2 linked regions of the Yarrowia lipolytica genome follow. The protein of the gene in region 1 interacts with the protein of each later gene in a pairwise test. Links are inferred from orthologs where the notes say so. Each region holds a gene or a part of one and is shown in the gene's direction. Other genes may lie near its edges.

What was found. The genes of interacting proteins can lie anywhere in the genome.
Region 2: the proteins of YALI1_C01297g (region 1) and YALI1_E38020g interact in binary tests that used the Saccharomyces cerevisiae proteins (3 or more experiments, as listed by UniProt). The link is inferred for Yarrowia lipolytica from reciprocal best matches to the Saccharomyces cerevisiae genes DIP2 and UTP13.

The regions. Positions count from the first base shown.
Region 1 is NC_090772.1:126,457-131,293, reverse strand, and holds YALI1_C01297g (uncharacterized protein), read left to right. Parts: upstream 1-1,549; coding exon 1,550-4,288; downstream 4,289-4,837. Other genes in the region: YALI1_C01301t (uncharacterized protein), read right to left, coding at 569-1,165; YALI1_C01262g (uncharacterized protein), read right to left, coding at 4,608-4,837. UniProt on the Saccharomyces cerevisiae protein: Involved in nucleolar processing of pre-18S ribosomal RNA.
Region 2 is NC_090774.1:3,799,140-3,803,612, reverse strand, and holds YALI1_E38020g (uncharacterized protein), read left to right. Parts: upstream 1-1,567; coding exon 1,568-3,910; downstream 3,911-4,473. Other genes in the region: YALI1_E38034g (uncharacterized protein), read right to left, coding at 1-235. UniProt on the Saccharomyces cerevisiae protein: Involved in nucleolar processing of pre-18S ribosomal RNA.

The DNA.
Region 1 (4,837 bases):
TTTACGCTTTGCTACTGTGTCTTACTCTCGCTCATCCGTGAAGTGCTGGGGGTTTGTCCATCGTAGAAACACATCTGGGCTTCCTTCAGGAATTGAAAGCAAACCCCTGTTGGACATTTCCCAGGGTGGCGGTCGTTCCCTGAGTTACCGGAAGGATCTCTCCATTTTTCAGATCCCATAAGCCAATTTCCCGCAGATATTTGCGTGTCTTGGGACTTGTTTGAATGTTTCCGGGGGGCGTCCACTGTTCACAATGCCCCTGGGAAAGAGGGGGATTACTCCACATTTCGACTCGGTAAAGATCCAGTCCTTTAGAGAGTCCACTGACGGAATCTTCATCCTGGTCAACATGGAAAGAAGAACTTCGCACTTGCAGAAGATATGCTCGTGCAGATCCTGAATGATGGCCTTATCACAGAGCCCGCATCCTGGATTCTTCTTGGTGAAAACGTGGTCGTCAGGGTATCCTCCATTTTCACGAGCGGAAGTCGAGATATCCGCATGAGGTTGAAAGAACTTGTGTTCTTTGTTGGCGTCGGCGATGTAGTGTTTTTCGAAGGTTCATGCATTACCTCCTGCCAAGACCATGTCGTCCAGAGATGCCCCCGTAGTCGGCTTCGTTGAGTCCACTTCTTCGGTCGTGCAAGTGGTGTGTGGGAAGTTTGGCAAGTCGGGAGACGGGGTCTTGTGAAACATGAAGTTCTCTAGAGTAAGTTGGTGGTCCCATGCTCCACCGGAGGTGGTCGATTTCCGCTGTGGACACCATTCTGACCGGATGGTATCGTCTCGCGGCTGCGATGTCGACGTGTGCTTCCCGGAAAGATTCTGCTGCTCTCACGTTCACCTGGTTTCGTTCCCAGATTCTGTGATTAACTGTGTCTGTTGTAGAGGGCTCGTGATCTTCTCGAGGGTTGGCATGTTCCGCGGTGAGGGGCTTGTTGAGCTCGAAAGAAGCTCTGATTGCGTCTCGCATGGTGGGGGAGGCTGCGTAGCCCCAAGCTTGGCCTGTCGGAAAGCGGCAGTCGACGCGCTGGTGTGGCTTTTCCTGTGTGAGACTGTGAGTTCTGCTGTAGAACTGGAAGGTGCAGTCCCAAAGGGCCGGCGATGAGCCATGGAAGAACCTGTAAGCCCGAGCGGCCTTCAGGCACACCATGAAACGTCCCATGTCCCGCAGGTTCAGTCCTCCTCTGCCTACCGGAGTTTGGATGTATGTACAGTACAACACAAGTGTCAAGTAATATCCCAACAAAGACCCTATCGTGGCTAAACTAAATTATTGGACACTTGACTCTGTCAATAATTGTCACTAACTGTCCATAATCACATCACGAACACGAGACAACCGCCATAGCAAGTGTACGTCTTTGTAGTTATACTTAACCTAGCAAATGGTGACTTATGTAAGCAGAAGGGGTTCCTCAGTTGTACTGTTGCGCTCATAGTCATAATCTGTACTGTAAACTGAAAAACCTTAACGCGAAGTCTAAAATATTTTTATTTGCATGCATGGCGACTGCAATTTGCACTACATCTACAACCCCATCACACCATGGTAAAATCATACAACCGATTCGAGGCCGAGGCCGTGTTTGGCGTCGTGTCGTCGAGCAATGCGCTGTGGCTGAAAAATTCAAATTCCAGTACTGGACGGGCCGTGACAGGGGCTCTAGAGACAGTTCTGGCCTGGGACATCAAGGCCGGAACCTGTGTTCAGAAGCTGTCAGACAGCGATCTGGCAGTCGGAACAGGTGCCACGGTGGCAACTGCGTCTCCTCCGGTTGTTTCTGTGCTGACAAACTATTTTTCCGAACTGCTAGCTGCGGGATACACCGACGGCAGTATCCGGGTGTTTGACTATCGATCTGGCCAGGTAATGACCACCTTCAAGGGCCACAAGTCTTCAATCACATGTCTCGAGTTTGACGCAAGTGGAACCCGGCTTGTTTCCGGCTCGCGTGACTCCAACGTGATTCTGTGGGACCTAGTTGAAGAGGTGGGCGTGTCTCGACTGCGATCCCACCGAGACCAGGTGACGGGAGTCAAGTTCCTAGACGAAAAGAAACTCATCACGTGCGCCAAGGACGGCTTGGTCAAGATCTGGGACCTGGAGTCACGTGACTGCATCGAGACGCGGGTGGGCGGCTCCGAGGTGTGGGCCATGGACGTTTACAGCGACACCGTCATGACTGTGGGGCGAGAAAAGGAGGTCAAGGTCTGGCAGGTGGATTTGGACGCCAAGGACGGCGAGATGCTCTCTCAGCGCGGTTCTCTGGAGCGGGTTTCCAACGACCGAGGCATCGATATCGAGTTTTCCAAGGACGGCGGCCATGTCATCTTTTCCGGTAACGATAAGACTGTGGAATTGTGGCGACGACGAACTTTGGCCGAGATCAAGAAATCTATTGCTAAGAAAATCAAACGTCGAGTCAAGAAGGGTGATACTGTTGACGAAGACGAGTACGACGAGAAGTCGGTCAACGAGATCTGGGTGCAGGTGGTCAACTTCAAGACATCTGCCAAGATCAGAAACGTGACGTGGACGGGATCAGAATCGGTGTCTGGCGCCAACAAGGACGCCGCAGGCCTGCTGGTGGCGCTCACAAACAACTCTCTGGAGTACTACACCCTCGAGTTGGAGGACGGCAAGTTTAGCCGGGATCACGTGATCGATCTGTGCGGCCACCGCGCCGACATTCGGGCTCTGTCTCTTTCTTCTGATGACAAGATGGTGGCCTCCACCTCCAACGGTCAGCTCAAAATCTGGAATCTCAGAACCACAAACTGCATTCGGTCCATGGACTGTGGGTATGCTCTGTGTGTCAAGTTTCTGCCTGGAGACTCGCTGGTGATTGTTGGAACCAAGTCTGGACAGATCCAGCTGTTTGATGTTGCTTCCTCGTCTCTCATTGACACTGTAGATGCCCATGAGGGATCTCTGTGGTCTTGTGACGTTTCCAGTGACGGCAAAACCGTGGTTACGGGTGGATCTGATAAGCGGGTGTGTTTCTGGGAGCTGGCTGTTTCCTCGGAGACCGTTCCCGGTACTGGAGAGACCACTCAGAAGCTGAAGCTGAAGCAGACCCGTGTTCTGGAGCTGTCCGACGACGTTCTGTGCGTCACTCTATCGTCAGATAACAAGTACATTGCCTGCTCTCTGCTGGACTCGACTGTTAAAGTCTTTTTCTTCGACTCGCTCAAGTTCTACCTCAACTTGTACGGCCACAAGCTGCCTGTTTTGGCCATGGACATTTCCAGCGATTCCAACATCATCGTCACATGTTCGGCCGACAAGAACATCAAGCTGTGGGGTCTGGACTTTGGAGACTGTCGAAAGTCTCTGTTTGGACACGCCGACTCGGTCATGAGCGTCAAGTTTGTACCCGGGTCTCACAACTTCTTTTCGGCAGGAAAAGACAGGCTGGTCAAGTACTGGGACGGAGACAAGTTTGACTGCATCCAGCGGCTGGTGGGCCACGTCGGCGAGGTCTGGGCCCTCTGCGTGTCGTCTGCCGGTGACTTTATTGTCTCCGGTTCGCATGATAAGAGTATCCGAGTGTGGATGGAGTCCGATGACGAAATCTTCCTCGAAGAAGAACGAGAAAAGGAGCTCGAGGAAATGTATGAGTCCACACTCGCCGTGTCTCTCGAGGGAGAGGGCCAGGAGCTCGACGAAGATGACAAGGAAGACGCGGTCGTGGATAAAGTGCATATGCAGACTGGAGAGACGCTCAAGGGCGGAGAAAAGCTCATGGAGGCGCTGGAAATGGGAACCGAGGACCTGGACCTGATCGAAAACTGGAAGATTGCCCAGGCAACCAACCCCAACGCGGCCTGCCCTCCCCGTCACGTGATTCTCGCCACGCTGAAGCTGTCTGCCGAGCGACACGTTCTCAACGTTGTTGAGAAGATCAAGCCAGCGCAGCTGGAGGACTCATTGCTGGTGCTGCCCTTCAGCCACGTGATGAAGCTGGTGCGGTTCATCCAGATCTGGACCGCCAAGGAGTGGTCTATTCCTCTTGTGTGTCGGGTTCTCTTTTTCGTGACTCGAACTCACCATAAGCAGATTGTGGCTTCCCGGGAGCTCAAGCCCATGCTGGAGGAGGTGCGACACAACATTCGAAAGTGCCTGGCTCGTCAAAAGTCCGAGATTGGCTACAACCTGGCCGGTCTGCGGTTCATCAAGCAAAACTGGGACCTGCATCATAAGAAGGAGTTTATCGACGCTGTGGAGGCCAAGGAGGCCGAGGAGAGATCGCAGAAGAAGCGTGCTTTTGGCACGGTTGTTTAAATCGCATTGAAGAGCGAATACATGGTGACTTGTTGTCACTAGCTACTGCTAATTGAATAGATACTAAAGATAGGATATACAGATTACAGATTACAATGTTGAATTGTCCAGAACCTGGCGAGAAGAAGTCGGATGCAAGTGCCTTAAGGAGAGACGAGTTGAAAGTTGCCATTGGCCAAGTAGTGAGTCGGAAGTCCTACAAGTGCGAACTGACAGATTGAAGAATGGTAGTTCACGAGTTGCCATGGTTTTTCAATCGAGACTGTTCCATGTGCGGCCTGGAGGATCAGATTGTCGATTTCTCGGTTACACTCTCTTGTCATTGCTGGCCGGGCCAGAGATAGATCGCCTGCCGGATACTCCCAGTCACCTGAGATTGGCCGCATCTTTGAACTTGAGATGGAGCTCCCCCGTAGATACTGCCTCTCCTCCGTAGATACTGTCTCTCCTCCGTAGATACTGTCTCTCCTCCGTAGATACTGTCTCTCCTCCGTAGATACTGTCTCTCCTCCGTAGATACTGTCTCTCCTCCGTAGATACTGTCTCTCC
Region 2 (4,473 bases), on another chromosome or scaffold:
CGTCAAAGTTGAGCTCGTTGATGAACTTGCCATATCGGTCGTGCAGAGAGGCGCCCAGATCGGTCAGAATGGCGGTCGAGTTTCCGTCGGGGTTTCGCTCCAGAGTCTGGTTGACCATGGTCATGAGCTCATCCTTGTCGAAGATGTATCTGTGTGGGAGCACGTTGATAAAGAGCCAGTTGGTGACCATGTACAGACCCACCAGCAGCAGGGAAATCAGACCGACGAATTTCATTGTGGCGGTTCGTACTGTCGGTGATAGCTAGTTGTAATGCGTGCCCCCCAGTCGCGTCTATATATACAAACACAATAGGCTTTGCCCAAATCACTTGCATGAAGAACCTTAGACATACGACCTGAGCGAGATGGGATGACATGACATGGCGTGTGGAGGTGACCGTCCGTGCATCCGCACCACCTTTTGTTGCAACTCGATCCCACCACGAATTCAGACTTGGGTTGTGTGGATTGTGTATGTGTGTGTGTGTGTGTGTGTACACGTGACCAACTCCATTCACTCCACTTCCAAAAGAAAAACACGTCTTAACCCCTTGTCTGGTCTCTCCCAGTTGTCTCCATTGCCTTCATAGTTAGCGCATGTTTTTTCACACCGGCGTTTCGCTTAAAGTTCCACCTTCGTATTCCTCGTTTGAAAAATCATACATGCCTGTTTCTTTCGTGTCGAACGTTACTGCACGATATTGTGCGTGCAGTGTGGGAGATTTGCGTAATACAGTGCAACGGCTCGGCGGGTGGGGGGGAGGTTGGAAACTCCGTGTCACGTGACGTGTTCTGAAGAAGCTCTCGGGTGGGTAGCAGGAAGATTTGCAAACAGTGTGCCAAGTACTGGCGGTATCGTACATACTGTACATGAGGACGGATCGTGACCACGTGACCGACAAGATCTGGAGTTATCTTGAATGGCGTATTTGTAGACGGCGTTCTATGTGATAGTTGTGTCTTCGTATCGTACTTGTACTTGTACTCGTAATAAATGGGGGAATGTGTGTTTTGTAGCTCGTATGACAGCCAAATAGGGGGCATATGCACTGAATACAAGGAAAAGTGATACTTGTATAAGTACAAATACAGTAGATGGAGAATGCAAGCCAAGAGTTTGACGATACAGTCACAAAAGGTATACTGCCGGCAATACACGAGCCATTGGATCAGTAAATCAATCGTTCAGTTTCTATTATGATCTGGGTTGAGGTGGGGTGGTGAGGGTAAGTAATTTAGGTGGTATTAGTTAGCTTAGGTGAAGTATGGTATATGTAATGTATATGCAGAAAAAAAAAAAAAAAAAGTGGAAGGACCATCAAAAATGGTCACAAATTGGAACTGGGAGTCTTAATAATCCAATAACTGCTCAAAGTGACTGCTCCAAGGCTGTCATTTTGGTCTGACTCCAGATCAATGCCACTAAGAGAGGCTACTCGTACTTCCTCCTCTTACATACATGGTTCTGGAAAAATTAATTAACGTTTGCAACATGCAAGATTGGAAAAAATTGGTGTGCTGAAATCCAACTGCACGAAACACATCTGCTATACTACCAAAAGACAAGATGGAAACGACGGAAAAGACTGCGTTCGAAGCCGTATCCGTGGAGCCTTTCTACACCGGTGGCAAGACCTCTCTCGCCGACGACGGGTACACCCTGGCCACCTCTTTTGGAGAGGACGTGGTGGTGACCAACATCAAAACTGGAGAGGAAATCTGCCGAATCGAGGGCGATAGTGAGATTCTGACGACTCTGGAAATAAGTCCCGATGCCCAATACCTCGTCACATGCTCCCGATCTCTGACAATGCGCACATACCGAATCCCCAGTGGAGAACTGGTTCGATCAGCCCGGGCCCATGACGCCCCAGTGATTGTCATGGCTATCGACAGCTCATCGAGTCTGGTGGCGACCGGAGGAGCCGAGGGAACCGTCAAGGTGTGGGATCTGGAGCGGGGATTTGTGACTCACAATCTCAAGGGCCATGGAGGAGTGGTTTCTGCATTGAAGTTTTTCGGCGAACAGGGCGGCTCAGTGTGGCGCCTGGCGTCCGGAGCGGACGACTGCAAGATCCGAGTTTGGGATCTCGTGAGCCGAAAGTGTCTCAAGGTGCTGGATTCGCATAACTCGGTCATTCGAGGTCTGTCCTGGAGCTCCGACGGTGGCATTCTTGTGTCTGGAGGCCGAGACAAGATCGTCAACGTGTGGGACGCCAACAAGTTCAAGCTGGTGCGAACCATCCCCGTGGGTGAGAGTATCGAGACAGCCGGTATCCTGAATGGCGAGGGTCTTCGAATCTATACTGGTGGCGAGATGGGAGTTGTGAAGATCTGGAACGGTCAGACTTCTGCTCTGATTGCTGCCCAGGTCCAGCCTGCAGTGCACAACAAGGAAAACGAGCGAGTGGGAGTGGTGGACATTCTGTATAAGACCGACAAGCTTGTGTCTGTGCTGTCAGACCAGACTTTTGTGGAGCTGGACGACGACCTAAAGGAGGTGCGACGTATTGTGGGTTTCCATGATCAGATCATCGATATGACTTATGTTGGCGAAGACGAGTCCAAGCTGGCGGTGGTCACCAACGCGCCCGACATTCGAATCCAGACCGTTGGAGGAATCGAAACCAACGTTCTGACTGGACATAGAGATAACGTCATTGCCGTGGACCGATCGTTTGACGGTACCTGGCTGGCTTCCTCTGGAAAGGATCACGAGGCTAGAATCTGGCACGTGCCCACTCTGACCTGCTTTGCTGTCTGCACCGGTCATGCTGGTTCTGTGGGAGGTGTTGCTCTTCCTAGACTTCCTCTTGAGGGTCGACCTCCTCAGTTCCTCATTACCGGCTCGCAAGATCTGACCATCAAGAAGTGGAACATTGCCAAGGACGGTACTGCGAAGGCCGAGTACACCCGAAAGGCCCACGAGAAGGATATCAATGCTCTGGACGTGTCTCCTAACGATAGACTGTTTGCTACGGCTTCTCAGGACAGAACTGCAAAGGTGTGGGACATGAACTCGGGTGAGGCTGTGGGAGTGCTGCGAGGACACAAGCGAGGCGTCTGGTCTATCAAGTTCAACCCCTACGAGAAACAGATTGTAACTGGATCGGGAGACAAGACCGTCAAGGTGTGGTCTCTGAACGACTTTTCGTGCCTGCGAACATTTGAAGGCCATACCAACTCGGTTCTGCGAACCGTGTGGACTTCTCTGGGCTCCCAGATTGTCTCCTCTGGAGGAGACGGACTCATCAAGGTATGGACTTATGCCTCTGGAGAATGTGCTGTCACTTTGGACAACCATGAAGACAAGGTGTGGTCTCTGGCTGTTCGAGGCTCCGATGACGGTGCCCAGATGGTCTCTGGAGACGGAGAGGGAACCATTACTGTGTGGAAGGATATCTCCGACGAGGAGAAGGCTGCCAAGAAGGCTGCTGCCGAGCTTCAGGTGGAGCAGGAGCAGCAGCTGGCAAACTACGTGCGGTCCAAGGACTGGGAGAATGCTATTCTGCTTGCTCTGACTCTGAACCAGCCCTACAAGCTTTTCTGTCTGTTCCGAGACGTGCTTGCTGATCGCCAGGACGAGGACTCCATCATGGGTCTGACTAAGGTCGACAATGTGATTGCTGGACTCAATGTCGAGCAACTGGAGCTTCTGATCAAGCGAGTCCGAGACTGGAACACGAATGCTCGATCGTCGGTGGTGGCTCAGCGGGTCATGAACTGCATTCTGGTTAACCACTCGGTTGACAAGCTCAGCCAGGTGCCCAAGATTTCCACCATGACAGACGCTCTCATTCCTTACTCGGAGCGACACTTTAACCGGGTCGATGAGATGTACGACGAGAGCTATCTGCTAGACTACGCTCTGAATGAGATGGACTTCCTGGACACTCCTCAGGTTGTGTAGGATGGAAATGGGGGCATTGTGAGGGACTAGGGACGGGTTATATAGGCATACCAATAGATATTGACATTATTGTGAGAACTGCGAGTGAACAGCACGAATCGTTCTGAACTTCGGAAAAAGATCTCGTGGCAGAGGGCTACATTGTAGTTTCTCGGGACGTATCCTCACACCGTATAGCGATCACGAGTCACGAGTGCCATAGAGCGAGTGCCACAATACGAATCACTGTGACCGTGTCTGTCGGACTCCGTCAATCACCATGACCGCAGAATATGCACTCGGATAGGACTCACAGTACAAGCCTATTGTATGTCGTCTTTGGATTCTGCTGCATCTGACTTTTTTCGCATATCTCCGTGTACAAGCAGTAGCTAAAATAACAGGGGGTGTATGGAGCTCTATAACGAGAGATATTTGGAAGATACAAACACTTGTAGTGAATAAGAGGTCAGTTCAGAACCTTGAGCGAGCATTCAGTATCAATTGTACCAGCTAAATAGTATTATACGGCGTCAGGTTATTACAAATACGACAATTGTTATTTCACGCACGCAATGTTTCTA